4 linked regions of the Arabidopsis thaliana genome follow. The protein of the gene in region 3 interacts with the protein of the main gene of each other region in a pairwise test. Each region holds a gene or a part of one and is shown on either strand. Other genes may lie near its edges. The genes, in order: TCP1, AT1G19040, MYB112 and NF-YB12.

Region 1 (7,550 bases), 7.5 Mb from region 3:
ATGATCTAAGTATAAGCTGAATTATACTAGGAGTAGGCCTAAATATATTTAAAATAAACAATTGCTTTTTGAGTTTTGGACTGTCAATATAAGGGTCAGCCCATTTGACATATGCCTAATTCCAGAATTGCTTATTTTCCTTGGTTAACAGAGAGCACTCTCTCTTTCTTAACGTTCCAGGTTACCTCAATAATCAAAATTTGTATTCAATATTTTTAAGCAATCTCTTGACCAAATACTGTAGTATTTGAGGCTCAGGATTATTATACCAAATATATCATTGCTACATGTTCGCTAACCATCTGTAAGAGATTCTACTTAGTTGACAACCGACATAAATGGACTTTCTCTTACTAGTTTGGATACTCGATGATGAAAATGAACGATGTTCTAGCATCCTAGCGAGATGTAGATTTTGGGGATATAAATTTGTTACCAATATTAGAAGACTTAAGATGATTGCTTTGAAAATGAAAATATAAAATATAAATATGTAAACTAAAGTGGTAGCCCATGATCTATAGATTTTGGGTGGAATGCATCCATGTCTCTAAAAAGCACATATTAAACGAAGAATTTAAGAGATTTTAGATACATCTATTTAATACATAAACAAACCCACATATTCTAACATGAAATTTGAAGAGACTTTAGAATCAAATAACTCAAAAATGACCATTTCCTGTTTAATAAAAAAAAAAAAAAAACCTCTCTCCATTGAAGACTCTCTTGTCTCCAGTCTCCACCACTGACCAAAACCAAAAGCTCATTCTCCAAAACTTCCATCTACAACAAGTGTTCGAAATTTATACCATTGTTGAGTGAAATAATTGGGCGACTTCACTATCTTCCTTCCTTTTCTTTATGTACTCTGTAAACCCTAATATCCTAAATACATGTTCCTCAATTCCTCAATTTGCTGTTCGCCACTTCGTATTTTTCAAATCTATCTTCGATTTACTTCTTATTAAAGAAAAAAAAGCTCAGCGACTTCTGCTGGAGTTTCATTTTTTAGAGACTTACGTTGATAGATGGCTTGTTTTAATTTACCAGTTTCCCTCACACATTTTCTAAGCTTCCCGGATTTGATAGTCGAACATATTCCCTTCCTTTTAGCTTCAATCCTAGTTCAGATATTTTCCTCAAAATCGTAAAATAACCACTAAAAATATTTCAAATTCAAGTACCTCATATTGATGGATAAAAAATATCCAAGAAAAACAAAGTACAGGTAGAAGGCAAAATAAAAAAATATGGGTAAGAAGGGCCCAAAAAAACATTTCTGAGAAAAAAAGTTCATAAAATTTATTTTCCTATACTCATAACATATAAAAAAATTTATAAAGGTTTCTATATAAAAAAATAACTGTACAATTTACATTGCTAGGGACTTATTTTAAAAATTAGCCCTAAGGCCTATAAAATGTTTAAACCGACACGAATTATAGGTGTTCAACTCGTATCACCGTGTACTTTTAGACTCTGCCCAATTCACCATGAACTATATCATAAACCTCATAATTCCACCTAAACTATTAAATTCATCACAATTAGACAACTTCAATTAATTGAGTCAATTGCGATTTAAAATCCTTAAACGGTTATGCGATTATACTAACATGAGTTTAATAGATTGACCGATTTAAAAGCCTATTTAAATACTAGGGTATAAATATCTGTAAAAAATAGCTCTCCTGGGGAAAATTTTTTTTTCCAATAAACTCAAAGTACCCAAAACAGAAATCACTCGTCCCTTAAACTTACTAGGGTAGAAACTAGTGTAGATTTGTATAAATTAACAATACTAACTAAAATCTAAACTATAAACTTTAAATTATAAACTCCAAACTCTAAAAACTAAACACTAAATCCAAGAACTAAAATCTAAAACCCCAAATTCTACTCAACCCTAAATTGTTAAGCTTGAAACCGTTATAATTATATAGTTTCCTTTATTTTGTCATGATTCAACTTATTTTTTTTTTCATTTCAAATATCTTTTAAAACCGTCGTATTTATATTGTTACACATTTCAAATTACTAAAATGATAAAATACTATTTTTATGTGATAACAAAAAAAAAAACTATATTTTCTATGGTTTTGTATATAAACAGTTGGGTGCATGAATGCATATATTGCATTTGCGCCCACTGTAAATTAGAACAACCCTTGACTACTAGCTAGAGACGTCAAAAGAAAATTGAAAACGACAAATCTTTTCACAATCTTCAATCGTACGGGAAACCAACTCAGGTCACATTAAAGCCTCTTTTCTCTTTTGACAAAAACCCTAAATAAAGGGATAATGTTTATGTTACGTTGTTATATGTACACTACACATTTATTCCATATCTATAGTTTCGTTAACCGGTCAAAACTAATTCACCCACCAAAAAAAATCTAAATTTCCATTTCCATGGCATGTAGGAAAAACTAGAAACCACTGGACAAAAGAATAGAAGTTTTTTTTTATATCCAAAACGAAAGCAAAGCAGATCTTGTCTGAGATCCGACAAAAAATAAAAACAGTGAAATACTATACATTCAAGAACATCGATCGCCTTCAATACTGACTCTTAAAAGCGTGATGTTTATCATTGAAATGGAAACAAATCCTTCATATGTCGTCTTCTATTGTTGAATTATTATTTTTGGACTATATGGGCCATGTTAATTAGATGTTGCTTTTGTGGAGCACTCATACGAAAGGTACGTTACCTACTTGTATATGTATACGTAGTAAAAGTAAAATGTTAAGAAGATACTAAAAATAGTTGAGTTTGAGGTTAATCCCCAATATATAAGTTCATAACCAGATATTAGATCTGGAATTGAAAACCCTAGAAAAAAGTTGTAAACCCTAGTGAAAAATTAACCTGTAACTGAGTGAGAGAGGAGAAGAACAGATCTGCTTTTTTGCGAGCAGATCTTCAATTACATACACAAAATCATGTCTTCATCACTGTACACTTAACCATTTTCTTGTTACACATCTCTTACACCATTAATATCTCTATAGTTTTTTTCTTTTCTTTCTTTTTTTGCTGGTGTGAGAAATTGTACGCTTACTATCTCTCTCTCTCTCTGCCAGATTCTCTCTTTTTGATGATGTGAAAGTTGTGCTTTTGTTTCTTAAGAAAAAGGCATATTTTTAATACTTGATTCTTGGTTCTTGATTCTTGATTCTTGGTTTTTTTTAGCTTCTTAAGTTCGGTGATGTCGTCTTCCACCAATGACTACAACGATGGTAATAACAATGGAGTGTACCCTCTCTCTCTTTACCTTTCTTCACTCTCTGGCCATCAAGACATCATTCATAATCCCTACAACCATCAGTTAAAAGCATCTCCGGGCCATATGGTATCAGCAGTTCCTGAATCTCTGATCGATTACATGGCGTTTAAGTCAAATAATGTTGTGAATCAACAAGGCTTTGAGTTTCCTGAGGTGTCAAAGGAAATCAAGAAGGTGGTGAAGAAGGACCGACATAGCAAGATTCAAACGGCACAAGGGATTAGAGACAGGAGGGTTAGGCTTTCTATTGGGATTGCTCGCCAATTCTTTGATCTTCAGGATATGTTGGGGTTTGATAAAGCTAGTAAAACGTTAGACTGGCTGCTCAAGAAGTCAAGAAAAGCCATCAAAGAGGTCGTACAAGCAAAAAACCTCAACAATGATGATGAAGATTTTGGAAACATTGGAGGCGATGTAGAACAAGAAGAGGAGAAGGAGGAGGATGACAATGGCGATAAGAGCTTCGTGTATGGTTTGAGCCCCGGGTACGGTGAAGAAGAAGTGGTATGTGAGGCCACGAAGGCAGGGATAAGAAAGAAGAAGAGTGAGTTGAGAAACATCTCATCAAAGGGGCTAGGAGCCAAAGCTAGAGGAAAAGCAAAGGAGCGAACAAAAGAGATGATGGCCTATGATAATCCAGAGACTGCCTCTGATATTACACAATCTGAAATCATGGACCCATTCAAGAGGTCTATAGTCTTCAATGAAGGAGAAGATATGACACACCTTTTCTACAAGGAACCAATCGAGGAGTTTGATAATCAAGAATCTATCTTAACCAATATGACTCTACCAACGAAGATGGGTCAAAGTTACAATCAAAATAATGGGATACTTATGTTGGTAGATCAGAGTTCTAGCAGCAACTATAATACATTTCTGCCTCAAAATTTGGATTATAGTTATGATCAAAACCCTTTTCATGACCAAACCTTATATGTAGTCACCGACAAAAATTTCCCCAAAGGTAAAGTTTGGATTCAAGACTCTTTTGTAAACTAAATTATTGTTCATATATATGTTTGCATTCTATGATATGTTTTCTTTCTCTTGATTGTTTCTGGCAGGTTTCCTATAAATCTCGACAGTTTTGAAGGACTATGCATGATCAAGTTTAAACATGTAAGCCAATATAGTCCCTTATTCCTCTGAATGTATACAAAATCTATAGTTATGTATATCTGTTCCTTTTTAACGTATCTTTATTGATCTTCTGTGCCTTGATCAAAATTGTCATTTTAAGATTCAGTTTGTGTAATATTTTAGCTACAACTTTTAAGTGGTATTATTGTAACCTTTTGAACTATATATTTTGAAGATGAATAAGAACATGTTTATATATTTGGTCATCCCATTACAATCCAAGATTCATACTTCGATTAGGCACTACACATAAGAGCTAGTCTTTAAGATTAAGCCATTTTTGTTTAAGTTAGAGCTCCATATATTAGAATTTGTTCTTCAAACCCTAAATTCAATTAAGACCCACAAAACCAAATATGTATGATGATGAATATTGAGGGTCGTAGTGAAACTGAAGTAGTTACATTGCAAATTGAAGGTGACACTGAGAATTAGTGTGTGGAATGTGGAGGCGTGCCTGCCGTGGTGTCTATTTGATTCATAGTTTGTGATTTGGCCATCCAGGTATGAGGAGAATATATCCTACTTTCATATTATTGTCTATATAGAAGATATATACACATTTATATATTGGTGTATTTATTCTCTTACTCGGAGGATGTTTTGCAATGATGCTTTTTGAAGCAAATATGAGTTGTTTGTTTATGGGGTTTGAAGTTTGGCGTTTTGGAAACAATGATTGTTAACTTAACATATTCGAGTAAGATTTGTTTAAGGCTTTTAGGTTAAACTCTGACTAGAGATGTGAAAAAAAAAAATCCAAAAGAAAACTCAATGTTTTGAAATGATAACATTCACTTAGTAGTAAATAAGTACATGGATCAATTCAGTCACTACCAATTTGTTTGAATTATTATAAATCCTCAAAACTGAATATGCTATCATAGTTCAAACTCCAAACACACGTTGACATGAACCTAAATCAATATTGTTGTTCCTAGCTGACCCCAAATAGATCCATATATACAAGAGATTAGCCAATCAATTCTGCTTATGAAACTTGATATTCACCAATTTGAGATTCTAGAATTTAGTCGTTTTAATTTAATTTACAATTTAGTCGGAAATCCTATCAAAACGTAAAACTTTTTAAGAAACTGAATGTTAGGAGTTAATGAAAACGTGTAAAAGAATGATACAAGATTTGACTGATTCTATTTGTTAATAATTTTTAAATTTACAGTATATGCCTAAATTTATTTGGTTTAACTAACTAATTTTAGGATAATTAGTCAAATTAGATGATCATATATGGTTAAAGCTAGTCTAATTTAATTAGACTAAGTACGTAATAAGGTTGTTCTTAAACCGAAAAAAAAAAAAAAGTAAGAAGGTTGAACATTCACGTTGGAGCAGTCAAGATAAAGATGAACAATAAGAATTTCTTTTTAACCTTGGAAGGAATCTAATCTCAATATATAGGGACTTAAGATTCCACTAAGTTTGAACCACACACATCGAAGATTGTAAGATTCTGTTTTGAAGAATGAGAAGTTGGCATTACAAGTATAGTCGGTACAAGTTTTAGAAAGCTTATCCAAATGTAGTTTCTTTTTGAAGCTGTTTGTGCATGTGACAATTTTTTCGCTGTACATTCCTAATCTCATAAAATGAGAAAATAATCAAAGAAATAATATATTATGAAAATAAAAATTTGTTTTAACATGTTTGAAAAATATAACAAAACTATTTTAAATCATACTTTAGTTGAAAATAATTGATTGTTAAATTACGAAAAATTTTATAAACATGATTGAAAAACTCATAAAATGATAGTTTTTATCAACAAACTGGTGGGATATGGTGTGAATCAGAAAGTGTCACTCGCTTGTCAAAAATGTGTATCATGAATGTATACGAAGCACATATATATGTAAGGCAACACTTCATCATGTGAAATAAAAGCTCTCAAAATACCACCATTCGGAAATTAATCATGTAGACACACTTACAAATGTATTTTGAATAAGCTCACTGCAACATATTAAGCTTACTTTTTTTTTTTTCGCCCAACATATTAAGCTTACTAAAAGTTACTGAATGTTGAAGAACTGTCACTGCCAGAAGAAAGCATACTAAAGTTTGCAATGCTCGATAGGTGATTGAGAAATATAGTCTGATATGAAGATGTAATTTAACTTTTGCTTCTTATTATTATTTTTTCATTTCATTTTTGTTGTTTATTCTTTCTTTTTCATCTCACTGACCTTAATATCTAGACTTGCCTACACTTGCTTAGGTCGCTGGATTAGTATCTACACTTGTCTAGGTCGTTGGATTAGTTAAGTCCCTATGAATAATCTACAATATATAATTCGTAAATGCCTGGAAACTGATTTACCTTCGAGATTTTGTTGCAAAGTGAAGTAAAATTTATTATATAAAATTTCATTTGTCAGATCCTATGAAATAAACTCGCCGAAATAGCTAATTTTAATATTCACATTACATCTTTTCAACATGCCTTTGTAAGAGTACCTTTGTTTATTTTATTAATCTGACCTTGAGTGGACCCTTCTTCACTGCGTCCAATCTTCAAGGGTGTCTTTGCTTACCATAAATTTACTGATTTACAAAATTAGGTATTGAATATAAACATAAAGAAAAGATTTACCTAAAGGTAAAAGGAAAAACGAATACTTTGAAAATAATTTACAGATTTCAGTTTTAAAATCTGTAAATTCACATCACAGTCATTGTCTTACGTCATTTTTTGTAGTATGAAAATAATTCATAATTATTAATATGTAAAATAACTAATAATGAAATTATAACCAACCAAAAAGCAAATGAATTGCTTATGTATGAAAGAAGATAGTTGAAAAAATGACCAACCAAAAAATTGCTTCTTTATGAAACAAGACATTGTTGAAAAAAAAGTTTTGAACAAAAAAATTCTTAAGAAAATTTAGACAAACAAATCCATCTTTGTAGGCCCAAATACAAAATTAATGGGCCTTAGATTTGGGATTATTTATGTGAGCCCATTATTAAACTTCGTCTCTTACTTTTTTTTTTTCTTTTTTTCTTACTTTGCTTGTCCCGAAAGTCGCAGAGCGAGCTACAAGAAGAAGCGAAACACACCCAGAAGAAGAAGAAGAACAACAACGA
Region 2 (7,994 bases), about 11 Mb from region 3:
TTGAAAGCAAGTTTGTTCCATATATAAATTGCAATGAAAATAAGAAAATGTGAAACATATTGATGGTTTTTTCCTTTTCCTTTCAGTAATGTTCTTATCACCAATGTTTTGTTTGGCACGATCATCAAATGTTTAGACATGTGGATCAACATTGTAATAATTTTCTCTTCAAATGACTGACTCTTTTTTTTTTTTTCAAAATAATGTTTTTCGTAAGTGTTAGGTGTGAAGACCATCATGTTTTTGCTAGATTCTTGTAGATCTCAACATTGATATTTGTAGATATCTATCAAATCGTTACAAAAAGTTTGCTAGATTCTAAATTAATGCTAAGAAACCAGTTTTCTTTACAAAATGTTTTTGTCAATGTCCTCTCACAATCGGCTAAAAGATGTTACAAACTATAAAGGATCCTCCTCCACAACTTTTGAAGATTTTACTCTCTCCAGATTTTGTCCAAAAAGGACTCACAAAATCACACAATGATGGTCAACTAAAAAAAATCACTAAACAACTTAAATGAAATGATGACAAAACTATTCCCTTTTGTTGCAAAATAAAAAAAAAAACCTTTTAAATCTGCAAAGAGATCCTTATATGATATGGCTGTTGTCCTGGTATTATTTCTCCAATTTAATTTAGGAATTTCATGTTTGACACTTATTTAGGGATCGTATAATATACGTTTTTTAATTGATTTGAAACCAAATAACATGTACTATTGCCTTAGTCCTCTTGCAATTCGTTTAGAAGATGTTATGATTGAGACAAAAGGATCCACCCGCAATACTTTGTCCATATTTTTCTCTCAAGATTTTGTCCAAAAGCAAAAGAGACTCACAAATCACACACAATGGTCCACTAAACAGAGTGCCTTTATTGCATACAAAATTCAATCAATTTAATAAAGGAAACTCAACTGAAAACGATGACAATAAAAAATAAAAAATGTCCCTTTTGTCTTTAAATAAAATAATAACCCTTACTGACGTAAAGAAAATTAAATTAAGATAACCTTGTAAAATACTTCTTACCCAAATTAAAAAAGAAAAAAAAAAAGACAACAAGAGGATTAAATTGTATTAGTATCACCATCATACCATTACACATAAATAAAATTTAGTAGAGTATAAACGAATCACGTGTATAGGAAAATACAAAATACAATGTTGAAGTTAAAATGAATATAGAAGTAGATTAATTGAGCAATAACCACCGGTTTTAGATCATTGATTGATATGTAAGTAAAATGCAAAGTAGTAGCCGACTTGGCAAAGAAAAAGAAAAAAGAAGAGAGAGAGAGGTAAAACTAAAATAAAATTACTAAAAGCAGAAGGAAAGTTCCAGGTCACGAGGGAGTAGTCGCTGTCGGATTGAAAGAAACAGACCAAACAAAGATCTTTGAAATCTTAAAAAAGATTCGGTGCCCAAAGATTTTGACCTTTGAAGACACATTTGATTATTTGTGTTTTCTGACACTTCCCAAACACATAACATCAACACTTGACCCATTTTTAAGATTTTGTTTCCTCTTCAAAGATCTTACCCCGCAAGATCCGATCTTCCAAATCTCTCTCTATCTACTATACTAGTACTTATTAAACCCCACCACCTCTCCCTTCTTATTTATGTCACCTAACCTAACTTCTTCTTCTTTCATTTTATCACATTCATTTCCTTTGTCTTCAATCCAAAGCTTTCCTCTTCTTGGAACCAATCTGCTCTCTTTTTTATTCTGAGTTTGACAATGGCGGTTGGTGAGGTCATGAGGATGGAGATTCCCGCCGGTGGAGATTTGACTGTTACTACTCCGGAGTTGCATGTTCTTGCCGTCGATGATAGTATTGTGGATCGTAAAGTCATCGAGAGGTTGCTTAGAATCTCTTCTTGTAAAGGTAAAAACTCAAAACCAATCTTTTTCTGCTCTGTTTTTGTTGGTTTTAACTCTCCTCTGTTTTTCTTCTTCATTAACAAACTCTCCTCTGTTTTTTAGTTACAAGTGTCTTTTTTTTTTTGTTATTTCAGTGACGACTGTAGAGAGTGGAACTAGGGCTTTGCAGTATCTTGGCTTAGATGGAGGCAAAGGGGCTTCTAATCTTAAGGTAATTAAGAATAAATCTTCCCTCTTTTGCTATCTACTGAGAAGAACTCTTGTATATTTAGGAAAGACCGAAGGAGTGAAACCTTTGCAACTTTGGCTTTGGCTATTGCTTCTTCTTGTCTTTATGATCAAATGAGATTTAGAAATGAACTAGTCTAGTTAGTGATTTATGTGTTTTGGTATTAAGATTTGATTTTGTTTGTGATTTTCATCATAACAGGATTTGAAGGTGAATTTGATAGTGACGGATTACTCAATGCCAGGACTTTCAGGATATGATCTCCTTAAAAAGATTAAGGTAATAACAATAATAATGGATTTACCAATCTGAGAAAGACTTAAACAAAGCTTTTTTAATGCTGCTTATACAAAACTCCATTGATATGTGCAGGAATCTTCAGCATTCAGAGAAGTACCAGTAGTGATTATGTCATCTGAGAACATCTTACCTCGTATACAAGAGTAAGTACTGATTGTGTAATGTGTAGTGATACAGATGGGATCATATTTGTGTCTACACTGTGATCTAAACTTATCGACTTCTTCTTCTTGTTTTTAGATGTCTCAAAGAAGGAGCAGAGGAATTCTTGTTGAAACCGGTGAAGCTAGCAGATGTAAAGCGAATCAAACAACTTATAATGAGGAATGAAGCTGAGGAATGCAAAATCTTAAGCCATTCTAACAAGAGAAAGCTTCAAGAAGACAGTGATACATCATCATCAAGTCATGATGATACTTCTATCAAGGACTCTTCATGTTCAAAACGAATGAAATCAGAATCTGAAAACCTTTTTTCTCTACTTTGAATTATATGTATAGAGGCCAAGACCTTAGCAAAACCATTCTGTTAATATTCCTCAAGAAAGACAATGTTTGAGAGAGTCATCACACTACTCATGATGTTGCTTAAACAAAACAAAACAAAAAAGAGAAAAGAATCAAATGTTAGGTTCACACTGACTTACACCTCATGTAAATTCTTCAATGCTTGCAACTCAAGCTTAGGATGCTCTTCTCCCGGAAGTATTGGTCTATCATCAATCACGCAGGAATCGTTTTTCAGGTAAGTGAGTCTGCAAACCGCCCAAACAGGATCCGAAGACAATTGGAATTCTTCTACTTTCCACCCGGTCATTGAGTGGACACGCCCCACATCGAGATTGAAAGAATATCTTGTTTTAGTTCCCAGAACATTTTTCTCTATGTCATTATCTATGATTTGTGTAACAACACCATTGACCCTCCATGTTTTCTTCTTGCCCCTGAGGTAGAACATCAAATTCAGCTTTTCACGACGAGACGAACACTTTCTCACAAAGTAGTACCATTCACTGTCCTTGTAAAAAGGAGATCTAACATGTTCAAGAAGCCATGGCTCCATGGCATATAGCTCTCTCTCTCTCTTATGAAGCAGCTGAAGTCTGGTGAATGGGCCTTTGGAGTGAGGTACAAAGAGAGTAGCTCTTGATCAGTCGGATGAAATCGGAATCCGTAAGTAAAGACACTTGGTGGGACGTTCTGACCAGAACTCAGAGCATCATGTATCTGCTTCAACACATCCCATTTCAAGCGTGGATGTTCAAACCCGTTCAATCTAGGCTTATCTAAGTACTCATTCCCGAGGGGGTTTTTCTTAACAAAGTAATACCATTCATAGTGATTGTAACACGGATCTCTCACATGCCCAAGTACCCACGGATCCTTGTCGTACAAGTCTATGGTTTTGATAAAGCAGCTGAACTCCGGCGATTGTGTCTTCCGCATAAGGTAGTCTGTCACTTCTTCATCAGCTGGGCGAAATCGAAACCCGCGTGTTAACACCTCTGACATTTTTGCTTCTGATCCAAGAAACGAGAAACCAAATTCATCAAACTCGATCTCTAAAAACAAACAGTGATCTATTATTCTAAAAGAAAACCCAGTAAAAGAATTGGAATCATGGTAATGAATATGATTTCTTCTAGCAGTAGAAACGGTGTGAAAGTGTAACAGAGACGAATATATGCTGAAGAAGAAGAAACTTGATTATGAGAGAACGAGAACTTACATGAATCAATGATCGAAGATTTCTTCTAGCAGATTAACAGAGAGACCCAACGACGTGAAAACTTAACAGATATGAATGTTCGAAGAAGTTTCTGCAAGAACCCCAATAACGAATTGGAATCTTGGTGATGAATGCTTGAAGCAGAAACTTGGATAACAAAGAACGAGAACTTACCTGAATCAATGATCGACGATTTCTTCTAGTAGAGAACAGAGACCCAACAGATATAGAAATTCTGAAAGAAACGCGACAAAGAGTTGGATAACAGAGAGATCGACAATTTCTTCCACGAGAGAACAGACTTCAAACAAACCGTGATAATCTAACAGAGATGAACGCTCGAAGATGATAAGAAAATTGCAATCTTGGTGACGAATTTTGAATGCAGGAAGAAGAAACTCGAATATTTGATAATTAATATCAATGTTCAGTGGTTTCTTCAAGCGTTCCTCTAAAGCGATCTTGGACTCACTCTGTGTTTCTGTTTCTTGCTGCCAACGGATACGCAACAATAACAATTACAATGTGTTTAAAGATAAATCCCCCTTCGCCGACTTCACTAATACTATCATTTGTATTTTATTCAAAATTATAATTTTTTAAACATCTTCACAATTGTTAAATTAAAAGGACTGTATATCATATTTAAGACTTTTATTTCCGAAATTATATATATTTCTAGGATATGTATTTTCTCATCATCGGACTCCTAGGTATTTCAAAGACTATGTAATACATATTTGGATTTATTTTGAAAACACACATTGAAGGAAGACTTTTTAAAAAAAAAATGCATCTTTTTAATACTATTTTTCAAAAATGTCTCCTCCATAGAAACCTTTTATTGTTTTTTTACTGAAGATGATTTTTTAATAAAAATATATAATTTAAAAGATTTTCCTTTTCCCCGATTAGCTTCGCCGGAATGTCTCCGCGTTCCGGCAAATTTTGTAATCCCAGCTATCGAAGTGGCTATTCCTTTATTGGGCTGTAATTCACTAAAAAAAAAAATCAATAAAAACAAAAGAGCACCACTGTTTTTTGGTAAGAAATCTATTAGTATTTTTTCACATTTTACATTTTAAAATATTTAGTAGCATGTTCTATTACTGATTATTTTTCCTAGGACCTTTAACTCAAAGCCTCTTTTTGGGAAATCCCACAAAGATGGGCAAGTTCATAAATTCTCCTGAAAATCAAATTAAGAAAATGTTATGACATGTTTTCTGGTTTAATCATTTATAGATAAAAATAAGAGAATATGCACAAAATAACTATGAATTGTAAAAAAATTAACAAAGTAGCTATGGTATCAGAGGACACTCTCTTTCATCACTTGTAATTATTTTTATACCCATTATCGAATTTTATATGTATTACACGCTATTTTACAAAATCACACAAAACACTTAGATGATTCCATGGCGAAAAACTTTTGATGAATCCGAACAAACCACCACTCATCTCTCTTTCTTCCACCACCACAACCACCACATCTTCCACCATCACAACCATCAGTCTCTTTTTCGATAAATCTAGGCTGCTAAACGTTATTTATATTGACGGATCATCTCTCCTTCAATTTGCAGAAGATTTCTCATTTTATTTTGTTCGATTTTGATTCTTTCTTGGAATCTCCGTCGTTATGTTTTCTTTTTACATTGTATGTTATTTTCTTTTTTACCATGCTACTTTCTCGAATTACACGTTATAATTGAAAATCTCTCTCAAATAACATGCTATTTTTTCATATAACAAATTATTTATTCTCATAGCACATTATAAAATGTCACTTTTTTGATAAATATCGTGCTATTTATTTTGTTCGATTTTGATTTTTTCTTGGAATCTTCATCGTTATGTTTTCTTTTTAAATTGTATATTATTTTCTTTTGTATCATGTTACTTTTTCGAATTACACGTGATAACTGGAAATCTTTCTCTGTCAACATGCTAGTTTTTCATATAACACATTATTTATTCTCATAACATATTATAAAATGTCACCTTTTTTATAAATATCATGTTATTCTCATACTCTTGCTTTTGGTTCAACTTGCAAGGATATTTTTGTATTTTCTTATGCCGTCATAAGGTTATTTACTCACATACAAATTAACAATGGTTAGTTACTACATTCTTTTCAATTCTACTTTCTAATATTACCCTAAAAATAATTAGATTTTTTCTCTCCTTTTTCTGTCATTTATAACATCATATCTAGATATATCTCGTCTAATAATATTTTGATGATAACCTGCAATATAGATTATGACGAACAACTTTTATAGATAACGATTCTACCATTCAGCTCTTCTCGCAACACTCGGATACACGACAAACGATTATGCATATATGATATATGATGGACATACTCTTTCTGCTTCATTTGAGACCACAACGGTGACCTAATTATAGTACTCGATATAGATTACGATAAGTTATGCATCAATAATCTGCAAAATCGAACCTGAGACTTGGTGTAAAATTTTTTTTTGACAAAAGATTAATTTTTATATCATTTTTGACTTTTGACAAAAAGCTGATTAAAGCAGTCTCCAAATAATAAATACAACATTACAATTTGCTTCTAGGCATTCAAGGATAAGTTACGAGGTGAAATACCAATTCTGAGCCTGCAAAACTCAGAAATTTGCGTGGTTGTCACATGACCGAATAACCGGAATTCTCATCGTAGTTGCCACGAGCATATCTATTTGAAGCTGTCCTCAAAACCTCGTGATAAAAGTCTATAGCTTCTCCGAGAATTAACGCAAAAATACTTAAGCAATCATGAACTTTTTCACTAATTCAATGAGATAGCGATGCCACTTAGACCTATTTGCTGCCATAAATTCAACACTCTATTAACCTTATCAATGCACCCATATTCTCGCATACATAAAAAGAACCGACACCAACAACACCAAAAACAACAAAAATCTACCTAAAAGCAACCAAAAACGAGGCGAAGGGACGAAGAAAAATGGTCACGGGAAAACCATAACCATGGCTGAGGAAGCTGCCACCCTCTACAGCCCACCAATGGAGGAGAGATGTTGACCACCAATAACAAACCACAACACTTCTAACCGCAAAGAACAAACCAGAGAGCCAAAAAGATCTCGTGATTTGCCTCCACAAGAGAAGCTCGCCGGAATCCAACCACACTATCACCGGAGCGAGAGAAAACTAAGGTGGAGAGACCCGATAAATAGTGGTAACGTAATATTTATACATCAACAAAGAATACTAAATCAACTAGATATAGTATCATAATTGGTAAACTACTTGCTTTATTGATCGAATAGTAGTAGTACCGTATTAACCCGGTGCAAATTATATAACAAAAGTATATAGCCAATGAAATCTCACATAATATTCCAATTAGTAATATTGTAGAACTGCAAAATAGTAAGAAAAATAAAATAATAAGTGAGTAAAGGGAGTTACAAAATATTAGTTTTTTTTTTTTGAATTTAATATTAAATTATATTAAAAAAAAAAAAATTGTTCTACAACTTATACATACTTGTTTTAAAAGACATCATTCAAAACAAAAACAAAAAAATCTTCTCTCCTTGTCTTGATTCAAACCAATCTTGCAAACCTCCTGCAAGTTTCATATCTCCGCTACTCCGAATTGTGCTCAAACGATTCCGAATGATTTTATCGATCACTCTTATCAGTCTCTCGCATGGGGATGGTTCTTCATTGTGTCGTCGGTTGTTCCGTTCTCTTCAAAGAGAGTGGATTGCATTTTGAAATATGTACCCTACAATGAAACACTTCGTCTTGCTTAGCCTATTGTCATGTATCAGTTTGAGAGTTTCCGTCCAGTTTGCG
Region 3 (8,732 bases):
CAGGAAAATCACGGGTTTACGTTTTTGGCGGGAAAATCACGGGTATTCGTTTTTGGCGGGAAAATTACATGTTTTTCGTTTTTGGCGGGAAAATCACGGGCTTACGTTTTTGGCGGGAAAATCACGGGTTTTTGTTTTTGGTGGGAAAATCATGGGGTTTCGTTTTTGGCGTGAAAATCACGGGTTTACGTTTTTTTCAGAAAAATCACGGATTTACGTTTTTGGCGGGAAAATCACGGGTTTATGTTTGTTGGTGGAAAAATTACGAGTTTACTTTTTCTCAATTCATCGCTTGTATATTTAAGAAATTTGGAAAAATATTAATTTTATTAGATTGGTTTAGATGTGTTGGTTAAACTTAAATTAGCATTGGTTTAGAGATTTTAGTTGGTTTAATTCAATTTTACAAATTTTGATGGGTTAATTAGGTAAATCATTGAAACCATTAACCATTACAATCCAACTCATTTACTCATCAAACCAATTGACCCGATAACTCATTTGACCCATCAACTCATTTGAGTCAAAAATTTTCAACTCATTAAGGTTCATGGGTTGAGTTGAGTTGAGTTGACCCATGAATTTTGACCCATTTTGACACTCCTAGATTTGGGTGTTAAAAATTTATTTATTACATTACAAAACTGGATATCTATTTAAATATATATATATAAAGTGCTAATTAAAAGATATATATTAAATGATCCGACATTATTGCTCTAGATTAAATAGAAACAAAATAAAATGCTTTGACATTGTAATGCAGTTGATGTTTCTTTTTTTTTGGCAACATAATTATGTTGTTATTGATTTAACGACCATGGAAAAATAATCACCTTATTGTCAAAAAAGAAATTACCTTACTATAGTACATAATTAAACAAGTTTGACCAAAAATCAATATGTTGATATTTACTTTCAAGTGTAGATATGGTTAAATGTGGTCCATATAAATCTCACAACAATTCTCATGTAACAAGAAACATAATCTTCATATTAAAATCATAAAATAAATTTGGTTGTTATGTAAAAACAATTATTTATTGGTTCTGTTAGTAATGCTTTTACTATAAAATTTCAGAAAGTAAGGTTAGTAATAATTCTTCATTCTGTTTTATGTTCTTTAAGTCGACTCCTAAAACTAAAAAACTTAATCTTCTTGGTGTAACAAAGTTTTTGATCAACTATGCGTCACGAAATTTCTTAAACATAAGCATGCAATTCAAATCACTCGTTAAAAGCACGACTGATCCTCATTCATAAAAAATTATACCGAATATTCAGAACTTTCTATTATTGCACTTACCAATTTTGATGCCGCCCTCAAAGCTTTGGCAACAAAGGACAATGTCACCTTAAATGTTAAGAGTCTCAGCAGCGATAACCGATGAAGACACATGTAAAGACGATTTGTCAAGTGTTATATCTAGTCCACAATTTTAAAAGAAGATTTCTAATATGAAAATCTGTCGGCCATAGTTTTGGTTATTTCTAAAATATTACCTAAACATAATAAAATATTATAAATCGATATATTGTTTTATGGATTAAAGAAAAAAAAAACAAATTTCCTTTTCATTATTTTGTCAAAACTGTATAACATGGCAAAAGGTATGGCAAAGAAAACTATCAAAAACGATAAAACCATGGCAAATACTCCACTAATAACATATCAATCATAGGTAATGCAATTTTGTTTTCTCTTTTTTTTTTAACTACGTATAATGGTGTTAAAACTTTTTTTGTTTTTTTTTTTTGGAAAACTTTTGACCTAGTGTAAAGTTTGGCAAAAATGGTTTGATCTAAAACTAGTTTCATCGAGATTTTACATTTTGTAGAACTCTGATTCGGCTTTAATGAGTTTATGGTTAGAGACATGGGTTAGGTTAAGCTTTACTCGATTTAGAGTTTTGAGGTTCGCTGCATCTTGCTTTCATGCTATCAAAGCATTTTTATATTGTTACATTCTCTTGAGTCTTTTTTTTGTTTTGTAATCCTTTTCTATTTCTAATTAAAAAAACTAAAATTTATAGCTAAAACCATTAAAAAAAAGTAACCAAGAGTTCCGAAACTAAAGAAAACCCAAAAAAGTTAGTAACTTCAAAAAATTTAACTAGTTTCTTTCATCAATCTGTATTTATATATGTTCTAACTTTTTTTATCAAAACCAAACCGAATCTAAACCGTAAGTCAAAATAAATTAAACCAAAATTGCATCAAATTGAAATCATGACTAAAAATTACTCCTTTTGTCCCTTTTTATTGATTTTCTAGAAACAATCACAGATTAAGTAAACATATTGATTTAATTTTTGTGATTTAATTTTTTAATAATTCTAAACTAATGATATTCAATTATTTGTCTTGAAGTTTAAAATTCATCAATAATAACTAATAAATAGTGCATAGAAACCTAAAAAATCAATCTTTTTGAAACAATTTTGTTTCTCTAAAAATCAATTAATAAAGAATAGGGGGAGTATTATTTTTGAAGTATACTTTAAAAAACACCTTTATTTTGATAAATATTAACAGAGAATGTCATTACTTATATTCATGTATTCAAATAACTTTACTATTAATTTTTATTATCCGTATAACCAAATCAATTGATTGTTTTTAACATTAACTATAAAATTTGAAATATACATATAATGTTCCAAAATTAGTAATACATATTAAAAGATTGTGTTAAGAATTAAAATAATGATTCGCAATCATCTTTGTTTGATTTTGTTTTCTATTTGTTTTGAATCATCATATAAAGTTAATAATAAACTATTTTCTACCTATATTCTGATTCAAAATTTTAGAATTAGACATATATATTACTTAAATAATAAAAAAGTGTGTTCAACGTCTCAATTTCACATGGGCTAAAATGTTTAGAAAATGATTAAGAGTCATGTTATAAATAAATCTAAATCTAAATAAACAAGAAGTTTAACTTAACAAGTATCTAAATTTAAAAGTTTGTATATGGTTTAATTCTGTTTTTAATTGAACTGTTTAATTTTACTGGATATAGTAAATTTTAAGCTTTGAAAGTTTTGAAATATTATAATTGATATATTTAAACTCAGTATAAAGTTTAAAATAAAATGAATATATATAAAAGTCTAAAATAACGCAGTACATGTTATATTTTGAGACTGGGTATATGAAAAATGAGTTTAAATCGACATTAAAAAAATTAAAAGTATCATTAACCGACATTATAATACGGTGAAATTCTCATTTTATTATTTGATTAACATCACTAATATTAAATATGTAGAATTACACTAATTTAGTTAAGATTATGTGAAAACAAAATTGTCCCGTGTTATATTGAGGGTTAAATTCTAGTTTGGTTTAATAAAAGGAAACCTGAATCAAAACTAAACAAAATTATATACTACAGAAAAAAGGGTTTGTTGCATCAACTAAATTATATCGATAAATAAATGATGTTAATTTAAATTACTTCTTCGGTTACTTTTACTTACTTGATAGCTTATCCAACTCTTAACTATAGCATGTGCTTAAGGAGAAACTAAGAACTCTTATACTATTACTTAGAAATTATTATTTTGCGAAAATTCCACTAATATCTTCGGGTAATAATTTATCTATTAACATGCCGATTTCAAATGCTTGGTATTTATTTATAATATATACAAAACAAAACAAAAAAAAATCTATAAAACCCACCCTGAAAACTCGATCACTTTATGTCCATTCCGAGAACTCTCTCCCTCATTAATTAAAATCTTTCTCAGAGCAATCTTCTCACAAGTTTCTAAGAATCTCAAAGCATGAATATAAGTAGAACAGAATTCGCAAACTGTAAAACCCTTATAAATCATAAAGAAGAAGTCGAAGAAGTCGAGAAAAAGATGGAAATAGAAATAAGGAGAGGTCCATGGACTGTGGAAGAAGACATGAAGCTCGTCAGTTACATTTCTCTTCACGGTGAAGGAAGATGGAACTCCCTCTCTCGTTCTGCTGGTAACTTCTTAAGCCTTTTGCATATATATATACAGAATATGTGATCATGCATGATATATAATATGTAATGCGTAAATCGATCGATTCAGATCAATTGAAGTCATCATAACAAATCCTTATATGCCCATATCATATCTCTAGAGTGATTGTTAAACTATCATTGATTTGAATGGTTAAAGTTTGGTATTGAAGGATTCTTTATATGTCAAACAAGTAGTCCGTTTTTGTTTTTTAAACATTTAGACTGAAACTTTTTTTTTTCTTATTAGAAATTCGTTTTGGATTTTGTGGATTTTAATATGATCATGTGAAGTTTAGTTTAGAGTTTATTTATAACTAACTGAAATTAAATGGAGTAGATATAAAAACTCGTCCACATCTTATCAATATGTTATTCAATTTCTATCACATCATATGTGAGTGATATACATATATGAATGTGATTTTTCGTAACTATGAGAATACTTTTCTTATGGCTGTGACTTCTCCATGTCGGCATAATTTAAATTCCTCTGTAGAATTGGTAAAGTAAGAAAGAACAAGTTGACATATTCATAGTTCATTATTATCATTAAAAGTGTACTTTCGTATGAAACAGTTTGGTCGGTCCAAATTTATTTATTTTTTCCTTTGGAGTTCTTTTCATATTAGCCTTTTGAGTGTGGAACTCAAACACCTTTCCCAACCATCCAATTCCATACAGCCTCATGGAATTGTTATCTTTATTGATTTGGGAAATTGTACTAGTGTCCATATACTATTGACTAGTGTACATTCCAGTTAATTCATGTTTTTATACTAATTGTATTTATATTGAAATCATTTACTATTGAGACAGGACTGAATAGAACGGGGAAAAGTTGCAGATTGCGGTGGCTAAATTATCTCCGGCCGGATATCCGCCGTGGAGACATATCCCTTCAAGAACAATTTATCATCCTTGAACTCCATTCTCGTTGGGGAAATCGGTATGAAACCTTTATTTATATCGACATAGACATAGTCATATTGTCGATACATTACTTAAAATAGAAAAAGGGACACATATCGTTGAAGAGAGCAAATTTGGAACGTCTCTATGAAATAAATAACTCGTTATTCAATATTGTATTAGTAGATAATTGACAAAATCAATTTGATGCGTATTTGAAATTTCTTGGTTGAATTGTGGTTACTATATGAAACTTGTATCATAGTTGAAATTAAGGTACACATCAACGTCTTTTTTTATCAGAGTAACACTAAAAAAACTGATTAATCTAGTACTACAATAGAACTTATAAATAATTAAACCCTCCGATTCATTATAAATAATATTTTTAGCAAGAGTCGGTTTTAACAAAAACAATTAATATACGTACAAAAAGTATATTAGAAATTTAATATATTTTTTGTATGTATAAATGATTCTAATAAAAAACGGAATGAGAGTTTAATTACGATGTTCTATAAAATTAATCGTGTTTTTAATAATGGAGTTAGTTTTGATATTTTTTCTATTGTGAAGGTGGTCAAAGATTGCTCAACATTTACCGGGAAGAACAGATAACGAGATAAAGAATTATTGGAGAACACGTGTTCAAAAGCATGCAAAACTTCTAAAATGTGACGTGAACAGCAAGCAATTCAAAGACACCATCAAACATCTCTGGATGCCTCGTCTCATCGAGAGAATCGCCGCCACTCAAAGTGTCCAATTTACCTCTAACCACTACTCGCCTGAGAACTCCAGCGTCGCCACCGCCACGTCATCAACGTCGTCGTCTGAGGCTGTGAGATCGAGTTTCTACGGTGGTGATCAGGTGGAATTTGGAACGTTGGATCATATGACAAATGGTGGTTATTGGTTCAACGGCGGAGATACGTTTGAAACTTTGTGTAGTTTTGACGAGCTCAACAAGTGGCTCATACAGTAGGCATTTCATGGGTTTATTAATGAATGTAATGTATAATAAACATAAACTAATCATTCAAAACAAAATTAAAGGTTTTCCGGGTTTTTTTCCATTTTTTTATTGGTTTAATTTTATTGTGATGTATGATTTTACAAAACAAAAAAAAAACTGCTTAATTAATAATATCAAAAACATATATATTGTTACACAGAAGCATGATTTAGATAAGACTATAAGAGCAAAGAAGAGAAAAACAACAACATGAGTTTAGCAAAAAGTTTATGTGGTTCCTGGTTCATTTAATAACTCCCATACGATCACTTATAATCTACCATATATGATCATCAATTAAGTTTTATAATATCACCGCATTATTAAAAACATTATGAGTATTTGATAACATATCCCAAAGAAATTCATTACATACTTATTTAACTAATGGGTTGAAATAGAGATTGATGCATGATGTGTATATGAAGTGAACATCAAATAATTATTTTACTCTAAATAAATTATTAATTTGGATTTGGCCCTCTCATCTAAACTCAGAGTTGAAGTGTTCATGAAATCTTGCATGCTCGAGACAATGAGACATATTGCTTAGAGCACTTAAAGATGGTATCAACTCTTAAAAATATGCAAGTAAAATTTCGTCGTCTCAAATATCATTTTTTAAAAATAAAAAAAAAACTTTAGTTACATACATGTTGAATTCTCTAAATCGGTTATGTAGTTTGTGGTGCTATTATTGTTTTGGAAATTTCTAGTTTGTAGGGCCTATATTTTCTTGTTTGGCTAACCAATAATATCGTTAGTTTCATTTAAAATCACATATTAATTTAGTTTGTATAATCATTAATAGTTTAACTAAAAGAAAAGGACGTGAATGATGTCTCCAATTCCTAATCATGATTAAGATACTATTAGTTACTCCAACTCATGTAACACTTTATCGAGATTATATACGTCCAGAGGGGACGAACCCAAATAAGTTACTCTAGTTAAACTTTTAAATAAATTATTTCTCAGTGTTTTTTTCCACTACGTCGAGTAAGGAGGATCACAGATTCACCCGAACCCTATTTTATAATCAAAGTATTAATTGTTTTATTTGTTAGAATATATTAAATTAATCATCGAACACGTCTATAGACTAAATGGAAACAATCCAAAAATATCAAACAATGCATGGTCGATTTTTATTCTAAACTTATCTTTTCAATATTCTCTTTATAAGAAAAAAGCAGAACAATAGTAATTGAATTGGAGTGAAAAAAGGAATGAATTGGCATTACAATTTTGTAAATGGAATACTGGCCTTTCACACACGAATATCTTTGCTTTGTTGGATTATAGAATCATTGATTTTGGCTTTGATAACTATATTATATATTGACGTTGATTGTTGTATGTTGATTGTTGAGAACAGATTGTTAATTTTAGATAATAATTTAGATATCTACGAGAAAAGATAAGGACACGTGTGAACATTTAACACGTGCGCTTGTTGCTTTTAGAAGGCCGGGAAAGAGAGAAGTGGCAATGGCGGCTGTAATGGGAATCCGAGAGAAGGTGGCGCATGAGAAGCAACCCGAAAGTGGTCCCAGTTCGACACATGTACGCTCCATCTGTCACGTGTCTTTTCTTTTTTATTTCTTTAGCATCCTCTAGAAAATAGGAGTATCTTTTTTTATAGTGGCTCTCGTTTCTTCGATTATTGGTTACTAACATCGATTTATCATTTATCCGGTTTCTGTTTTGGTAATTGACTGAAGTGGTGGACTTTGTCGATCCTCAAACTAAATTCATTTATATCGACTACTAACTAATTTGGTTTGCTACATCTGTTGTATATCTTTTCTGTGTCATTTTTTTAAGTGAAATTTAAGATTTTTACATACAAATTAAGAAAACATATCAATTTTTTGTCTAGTATTTTTCTTTATGTAAAACATAGCTAAGTAAAATAAATTCAACCAATAAAAAAACAGAATGCAAAATATAATGAGTAAAAAAAAATTGCATAGAAATTTATAATTATCACTTAACATGAAACAGAAGGAATCTTAAAACATTGCTTACAATGGTACCAAATGAATAAAAATTTACATCTTCTTCTTTTTTATTGCAAAGATAATCACTTCCTTATGTCATTATTATATGTATCCTCTCTATTTTCTTGTGTGCTTCTAGAGAGATTCCATAGGGAATGTTAGTGCAGAAAACAAGTATATGTTTTTTGGACTTTCATTTCAATAAAATTATTGCAGATAGATAAAGCGACAAAATTAAACACAAATAAAGTGATCACTCCATGATAGAGAACAATTTGATTTTGTATTAGTATAAACTTTTCTTCCTCATAATCCCTGTTTTAGGGACATAATTGCATCTTCGGGACCAACCATTGCGTTATAATCCACTAGGGCCTAGACTAATCGATCTCAAAACATTAGTAATAAAAATATCTAGAAAATAAAGTAACAAAACGAAAGTCTTTGCTTAGGAACTTGTTCTAATATAAAGTAGAAAAGGGAACCCTACATGCACTGATGCACGAGTTAATGGGGTTTTATGAAAATTAAAAGAAACTTAATCAATTAGTCTAATCTATAAAAGGTTACAAAGGTTAATTATGCAGTTAGAACTTTATAAAGAACTAAAGTTAGACAAATGTCAAAAGCTGTATGTAAATTATGATTAGAGTGTATGCAAAGCAACCTCAAGAAATAAACCATTCGTGGACATTGTCATGTTTACTTATTGACATTTTCAAAGTGTATTTCTGTCTTGACAAAGTTGAATTTACGCACTCACTCGCAAAATAGTAATAATGATTACTATAAA
Region 4 (8,353 bases), on a different chromosome or scaffold from region 3:
AAAAACAATTAGAAATGTAAAAATGTGGGTTCAAATCAGGCCCGCAAATCAAAGAACCAATAAGGAACTCAGAGCAGGCACAGACATTTGAAACCCATGATTCAGTTTCCGTGCACAGTACCATGCTACAATCATTCTGTTTAATCCAGAGCATCGGCTTAATTGTACACGGATATAACATCAACTATGCAAACAACTATCATAACATCAATGAAAACAAACATAATAAGTAACAAAAAGCAGAGAATGTAGATCTAAACCAGGCCGTCTCATCACGAAAAATCAGAGATGGCAGACATGTCGATCTATAGTTTAGTTTCCGTGCACAGTACCATGCTTCCTTCATTCTATTTTAATCCAGAGCATCGGCTTAATTGTAGACGGCTTTCAAAATCAGCTAAATAAAGAGCTTACACTAGTAGATAACATCATGAATGATCATAGAAGAACATGTTACCGTTTTCACAAACATAATCACAACACAAACAGAGAATGTGGATCTAAACCAGGCCGTCTAATCAGGGAAAAAATCAGAGATGGCAGACATGTCGATCCATAGTTCAGTTTCCGTGTACAGTACCATGCTACATTCATTACTTTAATCCAGAGCATCGGCTTATTTGTACACGGATTTCAAAACTAACTAAGCAATTTGCAGGACAATAACATCAACTAATCAATTAATAACACAAAACATCAACACATATACATCAGCTAAGCCATCTGCAACACAAAACAATCATAAATCACACTCAATAAAAAGACAAAGAATGAAAAAACTAACCCTTTCTGGCCTCGTCTTATGCTCTTAACCACTTCTTTAACTCCTCTCTTCAAACATTTCTTCCCAGCAGCTGACAAAAATTACAGAGCAATACACCAACATGAGCTACTAATCAATATATAATGAGAAATAAAGAAGATAGAGAGATGTGAAGCGAGCTTGGAACTGAGATTGGTACCTTTTTGAATGAGTTTGAAAGTTCTCTTCTGGAGTTTTTTGCCGGCGAGAGGTTTAGCGATAGGAGCAAGAGTAATAGCGTACTTCTTCTTCTCCTTTTGAATCGACTTCTCTGCTTCGGTATCGCTTCCCATATTTTTTAGCTAGCTAGCTCCAAGTAACAAAAATAATGGCGGAAGAGTGTGGCGGAAAAAACTAGGGTTTAGGCGGTTGTTATATGACCAGAAGTGTTAGGGTTTTTATAGAGAAGTGTATTATTGACCAGTAAAATATAGGAACCCTAATTTCATATGGGCTTGTTAATGAGGTAAACTGGTTGCATATAATGGCCCAATTATTTGGGCCTTCATACAGACTAAGATTTGCTACATTCATTGACTTTTGACTTTGAGATATTGTATGTTGTTTAGCTTGAAAATCAAAAAAATCAAATCCGACCAAAAAAAAAAAAAAAAATCAAATTTTCCTTAAGATAATGTTAGTTACTGTAGCTGGTGAATGTTATTTAACCACATTCTCGCAAATAAATTCCAACGATTAGTATGAGGTTTTTTATCGGATGCTCAGATGAAAAGACTTTTTTAAAAACTTCACCAAGTGATTTTGCTTTATCCATGACATCCATTATCTATATATATTACCAAAAAACAGTATGATTCTATTACCAAAACGTGTTTCTAACTTGCTTGAGGAAATGTACAAACAACTAACAAAAAGCCATAAGTGAAGATTGATGTTTGGAGCTTGAATGTCATTGTCGGGTCAATAAGTACGTAGGAATATCATGGGGATGGAGATCAGTGTTTGCGTTAGCAATTAACAATTTTCGGTTTCATCATATATAGTAGAAAATAATGAACTTAATCACAAAACAAAACAGTGGATAATCCAAAAAGCAGCTCAAGGCATGGCAGAGTTTACATATTTTTGGAGTGAATTGATTCTTGTTGTTAAAAACTCAACATCAAATCAGCTTCATGAACTTGAAACGCTTCTAAAGCATAGATATCAGAGTGAAGGATTAAGAACAAGTACCCACAGATGTCATCCTCGCTTCACCACTGATACATCGCCTACTACAATATATAGGAGACTGCAATTGATTTCACTGGTCCAGAGAAAGCAAATTTAGATGCCAACTTCTATCTCACCTACAAATGTATAAAGGGCATTGTTACAAGAACACAGGAAAATTTGTACCGATTTATACAATGGCAAATTTGTACCGATTTGTACCTACAAATGTACCGATTTATAAAGAGAAATCTTGCATGTTGGAAAAAAGCAAGAAAATTTTGAAGCTAGACTTTTTGATACATGAAACAAAACACAACACTTTTTCAGGAACATTGTTTGGTCAGACGAAGTAAGCAACCTACAAGAATCTGAACTTCTTTTTAATTATCCAACGCCAAATCTACTTGATAAACATTAAGATAAAGCTAAGGCGCTTATCAGTCAACTACACACTTCAATAACAAGCACTTCATTAACTGAAAAAACAAACAAACTAAAGAGGTCGAATTCTCACCAGAAACAACAGTCACCTCTTCATCTGCTCTCTAAGAACACAAAATCCTCAGCTTTCCCAGAAAAGTAATCGGACTTGACTCTGTTTTCCCTCACTTTTTTCTTCTTTCAAAAACCAATAAACAAAAAGATTCAAGTCAATAAGAAAGATACAAGAGGCAAACGCTGGATGCAGAGGTTTATCGATCTATTCATGCTTTTACATTTTTAATGTGTTCACAGGAAGAGATCGATGAACCGCTGCCTCCAGCGACTCTCACTCTTCTTCCAACTAAACTCCAAAATGTCAACGAAACATAAATTTTCCGAATCGGATCAAACGAAACACATCAGATCTGAAAATTCAACAGTCAAAATCTATACCACAAGTAGTAAATAGCTGGATCTTTATTGCCTTATGAAACCAAATGGACAAAAACATATACCCTAGATTACACACATGCATCTGCAGACAAACTGGGAGAAAGAGAATCAGTGTGATGATAGAGATATGTCAAATTAATGAATCCAACAAAGAAAGAAAAAGGAAACAGAGAGATGAAAGTTTTAACCAGGAATCTTCTTGACCAGATACCATTTGTGATTCTCTGATTTGCCTATTGGCCTACTACATCCCTCCTCTCTCTCTATCTTTTAATAACAAACTTTATAGATCTGGTTTTTTCTTCTAGAACTAAAATGTATTTGATTCATATTTATAACTAAAATGTATCTAAAAGTCTCATAACATATTTGTCCAAGAAAAAATTGTAGTAACATAGTTATTGAATTTGAATATCATAAGATTTAGGAAGACATTTTAAAAATCATATTTGAATAACATGTAACATGAATAACATACTAAAAAGAAGAATGACATGGAGTTGGAAATAAATCAAACTCTTACAAAATACTTCAAAATTCAATACATCCCCTAATTTCTCTGATTAACCAGTGGACTAAAAAGCGGATGATTTGTTCAAAACCAAAAAAAAAAAAAAAAACTTGGGCTGAAATGGGTCGTGTCTGCTGCAAGCAAGCCTACATATGTAATGTTCGGTAAAAAGCCCATTTCATTTGTCTTAAAAAATAACGAAATTAGATCTTACGCGCCGTCAATCACTTTAAGGCAAAAGTGAAAGTCACGCACTTACTTCTGGTCTTATGTTTTTTTGCCCTAATCGACTTCTGCGTAGAGAAACCGAAAAAGGAGAGAGAAAATCCGCCGATAAGATTCCGTACGACTGCACGTCTCCGATCTCGCCGTGAATCTGTCTCGAGAGTCTGTTAACTCACCGGATCTCCGTCGTTGATCTGCCTCTGTTTCGATCCGTGTTAAACTCGGTAAAGTCTATCTCTGTTTTCTCCTTTGTTCTTCATCTTATAACTTCGCGGTCTAGATCTTCCGGTAATCTGATTTTCCTTTTGAATTCTGATCATGTAGATTTAAAACTATGGATCCGATGGATATAGTTGGAAAATCAAAGGAAGATGCTTCGCTTCCGAAAGGTTCGGTCTCGTTTCCTTCTTTGGATCGATCTACTACTTAATTTTTGGTTCTGTCAATTTCTTGGTTAAATTGAAAGATTTTGTAAATCTAGCTCTAGCTATGGCTTCAGGTTACTCAATGCAATGACTCTGTATTTTTGTCTGATAAAAAATATGTTTGTTCTTTCAGCTACCATGACGAAAATTATAAAGGAGATGTTACCCGCAGATGTTCGTGTTGCTAGAGATGCTCAAGATCTATTGATTGAGTGTTGTGTAGGTAATGATTATTAGTCTTGAGATTTATGAATGCGAACATTGTTTCAAATTTGCTTATTTCATTACTTATGATGTTCAAATTTGTTTATTGTAGAGTTCATAAATCTTATATCGTCGGAGTCGAATGAAGTGTGTAACAAAGAGGATAAACGAACAATAGCCCCTGAGCACGTACTCAAAGCTTTACAGGTTTGGTGTTACATTCAGCTCAGTCTGATACATCTATGTGAAATATATACATGTTTTGTAATCTTGATTTTGTTAAACACAGGTTCTTGGCTTTGGGGAATACGTAGAAGAAGTTTATGCCGCGTATGAGCAACATAAATATGAAACCATGGTAACCATCATCTCCTAGCTCACAATAAGATCCAGACTTGAATGAAATTATAATCAGTATCATTTGTGTTATTGCCAATTCTGCAGCAGGATTCGCAGAGAAGTGTGAAGATGAATAGCGGAGCAGAGATGACGGAAGAAGAGGCGGCAGCGGAACAACAGAGGATGTTTGCAGAAGCTCGAGCAAGAATGAATGGAGGTGTTACAGTTCCTCAACCAGAGCAACTAGAAGAACCCCAACAACAACAACAAACAAGTCTACAAAGCTAATCAACAAAACCGCAAAGGAATCCCTTATTTTAACATTATCCTTTTGACTTCTTTTTCTTTCTAGCAATATCTCTGTAAAGTGCAAAATTCGTCGCGTCTTGGTGTTGATATGCTCTTTACATTTTTTAACTTAGGGTTGTGTTTTTTCCCCTTTCTTTGAATCTAAAATCACTTAGGTGATTCAGATGTAATTAGTAAGGTTTTTATTGAATCTTAGCAACTAGTGTCATTCGAATCCAAATCCCCTTAAATTATGTGTAACTTCATAATTCTGAAGTCTTGAATCCATTTCTAGTCTGATCACCAAATCTGGATTCCTTTGTACGGCTTCAACATTGAAGCATCTAAACCGGAGAAACTTACCCGGTTTCTTTTCCCAAACCATGGAATTAAACCAAGGGCTAGAGGAGAGGAGTTGGACCACTCTTGGATGTCTAATCAACTGTTTAATTTATTAGTTAAGAGTAATTTTGGTTAGGCAAAGAAGAATGGATTTAACTCTCTCGCCGACATTTTGCGGACTTCTTCTTTGTCAAACACACACACTTCGTTTTCTGCCTTTCAAAGTTTTTTATTTTATCCAGTAATAAGTAATCTAATAATTTTTATAAGTAGATAATTATTTCTACGTAATCAGAATCTCACAATATTTTCGACTTCATTTGTAAAAATGTATCGAGCACTTTTATTTTTTTAATATTATAATTATTCTTCTAGAAAAAAAATTACTTAAAACTTTTATAAAGATCTGATTTCACCCATTTCTGTCATCAATTAATTAAATAAATTTTTGCTGTTTCAGCTCGATTTAATTTGCAAAGCTTAGTCTTAATAATGCAATAATTAATTACAATACGAATTAGTTTTGCTTTGTTTCTCTTTTTAAGCGTCATTAAATAAAAATTATGGTATAACTCCAATTCCACCGCTGCGACGAGAGAGGAGCACAGAGATCTCTCGTTTCGTTTTTCCCGGAAAATCTGAGGAAATAAAATTAAGCAAAAGTTTCCATCGATCCTCTGAGAAAAAATTCGACTCTCTAGTCCACGAGTTTTTTTTTTGTTCACCTCTCTCTTTTTCGTTAATCTCTCTCAAACAACGCCTCTTCATCATTTCCTTGTAATTCACTTTCTTCTCCGTTTTTTTTTTTTTTGAATCTCTCTTCGTCCTTCGCCGTTTCGATTTCTTGTTTCCTCTACTTGATGATGAAATTTTGATCAGATCTAGTGTAGAATAGTTAGGATTTACCCAGAGAGATTATGTTTATGGATCGAGAGAGACGGAGTTCTGGTCGTAATGGGACTCCTGAATATAGCAATGGCAAATTCCGAGATGATAATGGTTTTGGATTCTTAGATCGATTGGAAAATTGCCGTGAGAAGAGTCCTCCTAGATCGAAGATCCTTCGGATCCCGTCTCCGACCTCGTCTCCTCCACCTTCTAGCTCTTCTCCGCCATTTCATGGTTCCAATTCGCCTGACCGTGGATATATCGAACACCGCATCTCCAAGTTTGATACTCTCGCCGGCGTTGCCATCAAATACGGTGTTGAGGTATAATTCTGCTAACGATTTAGGTTTGGTTTGTGTAGTGATGGCTATTTCCAGCTCCAGAATATTTGACTTTGGTTAAGGTTGTTGAGTAATATTGACATACAACGGTATTTTTATTAGAGGCAAAAGGTAGAATTAATGGTACTGGTAAAAAGCATTAGGATTTTTTTTTGTTTGTGTGGGAATTGACGCATGATGAAGAACAACACATGAGGAAAAAGTTATTTGTCAGAGAGAGCTGGATTATTTCTAAATTGTATAAGCTTCGCTTTTGATGCTGGATTATTCCTAATCGTTGTTCTTATTTTTTTCTTTGTGTTGTGAAACTTTCTACTTCAGGTTGCAGATGTGAAAAAGATGAATAACCTTGTTACTGATCTTCAAATGTTTGCTCTCAAGTCTCTTCAGATTCCGTTACCTGGGAGACATCCTCCTTCTCCATGTTTATCTAATGGCTCCTTAAACCATGGGTACTAATAAAGCTTATTACTTTTAAATGATTTATTATTTGCTATCATTTAAGTTCCAGTGATGGATTCTTATAGCTGATTGTTGTTGATGCTTTGTTGCATTTTGTGTTCCACCATCAGCAGAGCAGTTGTTGATGCTTTGTTGCATTAGTTTGCATTTTGTTGCATTTTGTGTTCCACCATCAGCAGAGCAGTTGTTGATGCTTTGTTGCATTAGTTTGCATTTTGTTGCATTTTGTGTTCCACCATCAGCAGAGCAGTTTACACCATCAGCAGAGCATTTTGTTTCTTATTTCTTAATTTATTCAAAGAGCCCTATACCAGCTTTTCTTGATTGGTAAAATGGTTTTGGTACTTTGCTGTAAAAGTCTCAGCGAAGGTAGAACTAGGATCCTATTTTCTTTATATCACCTGCAGAACTAGAAATTCTATAGGAAACATCTCAATTTCGAGACAAACAACTAGTGCCTTTAGTTGTGTTGGACTGAAACTGCATATTATCATTATGGAGTAATCCTCTTTTCATGGCTCTAATACATGGAATCTTATTTGCAGAGAGGGATGTTCATGCCACGAACCGGAATCACCAAACCATAGCGAACAGGAAGTGTTTGACTCATTTCAGTCTCTGAGATTGAAATCTTCGGAAAAGAAAGTTTCTCCAGCCATGTACTCACTGCAAGGTTATTACGGGCTAAAACCAGCAGACAGAACAGTCTCTGATGGAGGATGCTTCGAGATGGGAAATTACAAGACGGAAACTTCTCATCATATCTTCAACAACGGTGATAACGGATATCTCAGACCTTTCCCATCCACAAATACTCCCTTAAATCACCACAGGAAATCTAGAAGCTTGGTCAATGCGCTTATCGAAGAGGTTAACCAATCACCTGATAATAATACTCAAGAACCAACATCTGATAAGTTTATGAGAAGACGCCAAAAATCTGAGGCCGATTTTTCATCCCGGACTCCAGAACTTGTGTTGAAAGAAGAGAACGGTAGCAGCAATGGCGGATTTTTATCAATAGCTGGAAAAGGCTTAGCTTTGAGATCGAAAGCGTCAAGCAGAACCAATCTAGCAGCAGAATCTGAGAACGGTAATTTCAATCCGGTATCAATGAACTTGATGGATGCTCCAGTTTCAGACAGCTTTAGCAGTGTAAGAAAATCGTCGAGTGCATCGAGTCTACAAGATCCAGATGGTAACAGCAATAATGGTTCGTTGTCGCTATGGCCAACGTCAAAGTGGAGCTTGAAACCGGATTTGCTTACACCTGCGGCCATTACAAGTTCCATCTTTGATGGATTACCAAAGCCTTTAACTGGTCGAAGAAACAAAACGGCTCTGGACTAAACACAAGGTCAGTTTCTGGTTATTTATAACTGCCTTATTCTTTTTTGGGGTACTATACAAATCAATTGTCAAAAGAAGCTATTTAGCTTAATGCGGAGTAAATACAAAAGTAAAGAGATTAGAG

The links.
Region 1: the proteins of MYB112 (region 3) and TCP1 interact in a two-hybrid assay, tested with the Arabidopsis thaliana proteins (one large-scale study listed by BioGRID).
Region 2: the proteins of MYB112 (region 3) and AT1G19040 interact in a two-hybrid assay, tested with the Arabidopsis thaliana proteins (one large-scale study listed by BioGRID).
Region 4: the proteins of MYB112 (region 3) and NF-YB12 interact in a two-hybrid assay, tested with the Arabidopsis thaliana proteins (one large-scale study listed by BioGRID).

The regions. Positions count from the first base shown.
Region 1 is NC_003070.9:25,164,976-25,172,525, reverse strand, and holds TCP1 (TCP family transcription factor), read left to right. Parts: upstream 1-3,218; coding exon 3,219-4,298; downstream 4,299-7,550.
Region 2 is NC_003070.9:6,572,832-6,580,825, reverse strand, and holds AT1G19040 (NAC (No Apical Meristem) domain transcriptional regulator superfamily protein), read right to left. Parts: upstream 4,750-7,994; 5' UTR 3,932-4,749; coding exon 3,413-3,931; downstream 1-3,412. Other genes in the region: ARR7 (response regulator 7), read left to right, coding at 1,748-1,895, 2,026-2,102, 2,322-2,399, 2,493-2,563, 2,661-2,907.
Region 3 is NC_003070.9:17,701,443-17,710,174, reverse strand, and holds MYB112 (myb domain protein 112), read left to right. Parts: upstream 1-3,714; 5' UTR 3,715-3,797; coding exon 3,798-3,990; intron 3,991-4,828; coding exon 4,829-4,958; intron 4,959-5,497; coding exon 5,498-5,906; 3' UTR 5,907-6,043; downstream 6,044-8,732.
Region 4 is NC_003076.8:2,632,280-2,640,632, forward strand, and holds NF-YB12 (nuclear factor Y, subunit B12), read left to right. Parts: upstream 1-3,552; 5' UTR 3,553-3,814; intron 3,815-3,914; 5' UTR 3,915-3,924; coding exon 3,925-3,979; intron 3,980-4,148; coding exon 4,149-4,238; intron 4,239-4,331; coding exon 4,332-4,426; intron 4,427-4,508; coding exon 4,509-4,577; intron 4,578-4,663; coding exon 4,664-4,846; 3' UTR 4,847-5,154; downstream 5,155-8,353. Other genes in the region: AT5G08180 (Ribosomal protein L7Ae/L30e/S12e/Gadd45 family protein), read right to left, coding at 785-854, 963-1,095; AT5G08200 (peptidoglycan-binding LysM domain-containing protein), read left to right, coding at 6,106-6,399, 6,739-6,869, 7,425-8,229.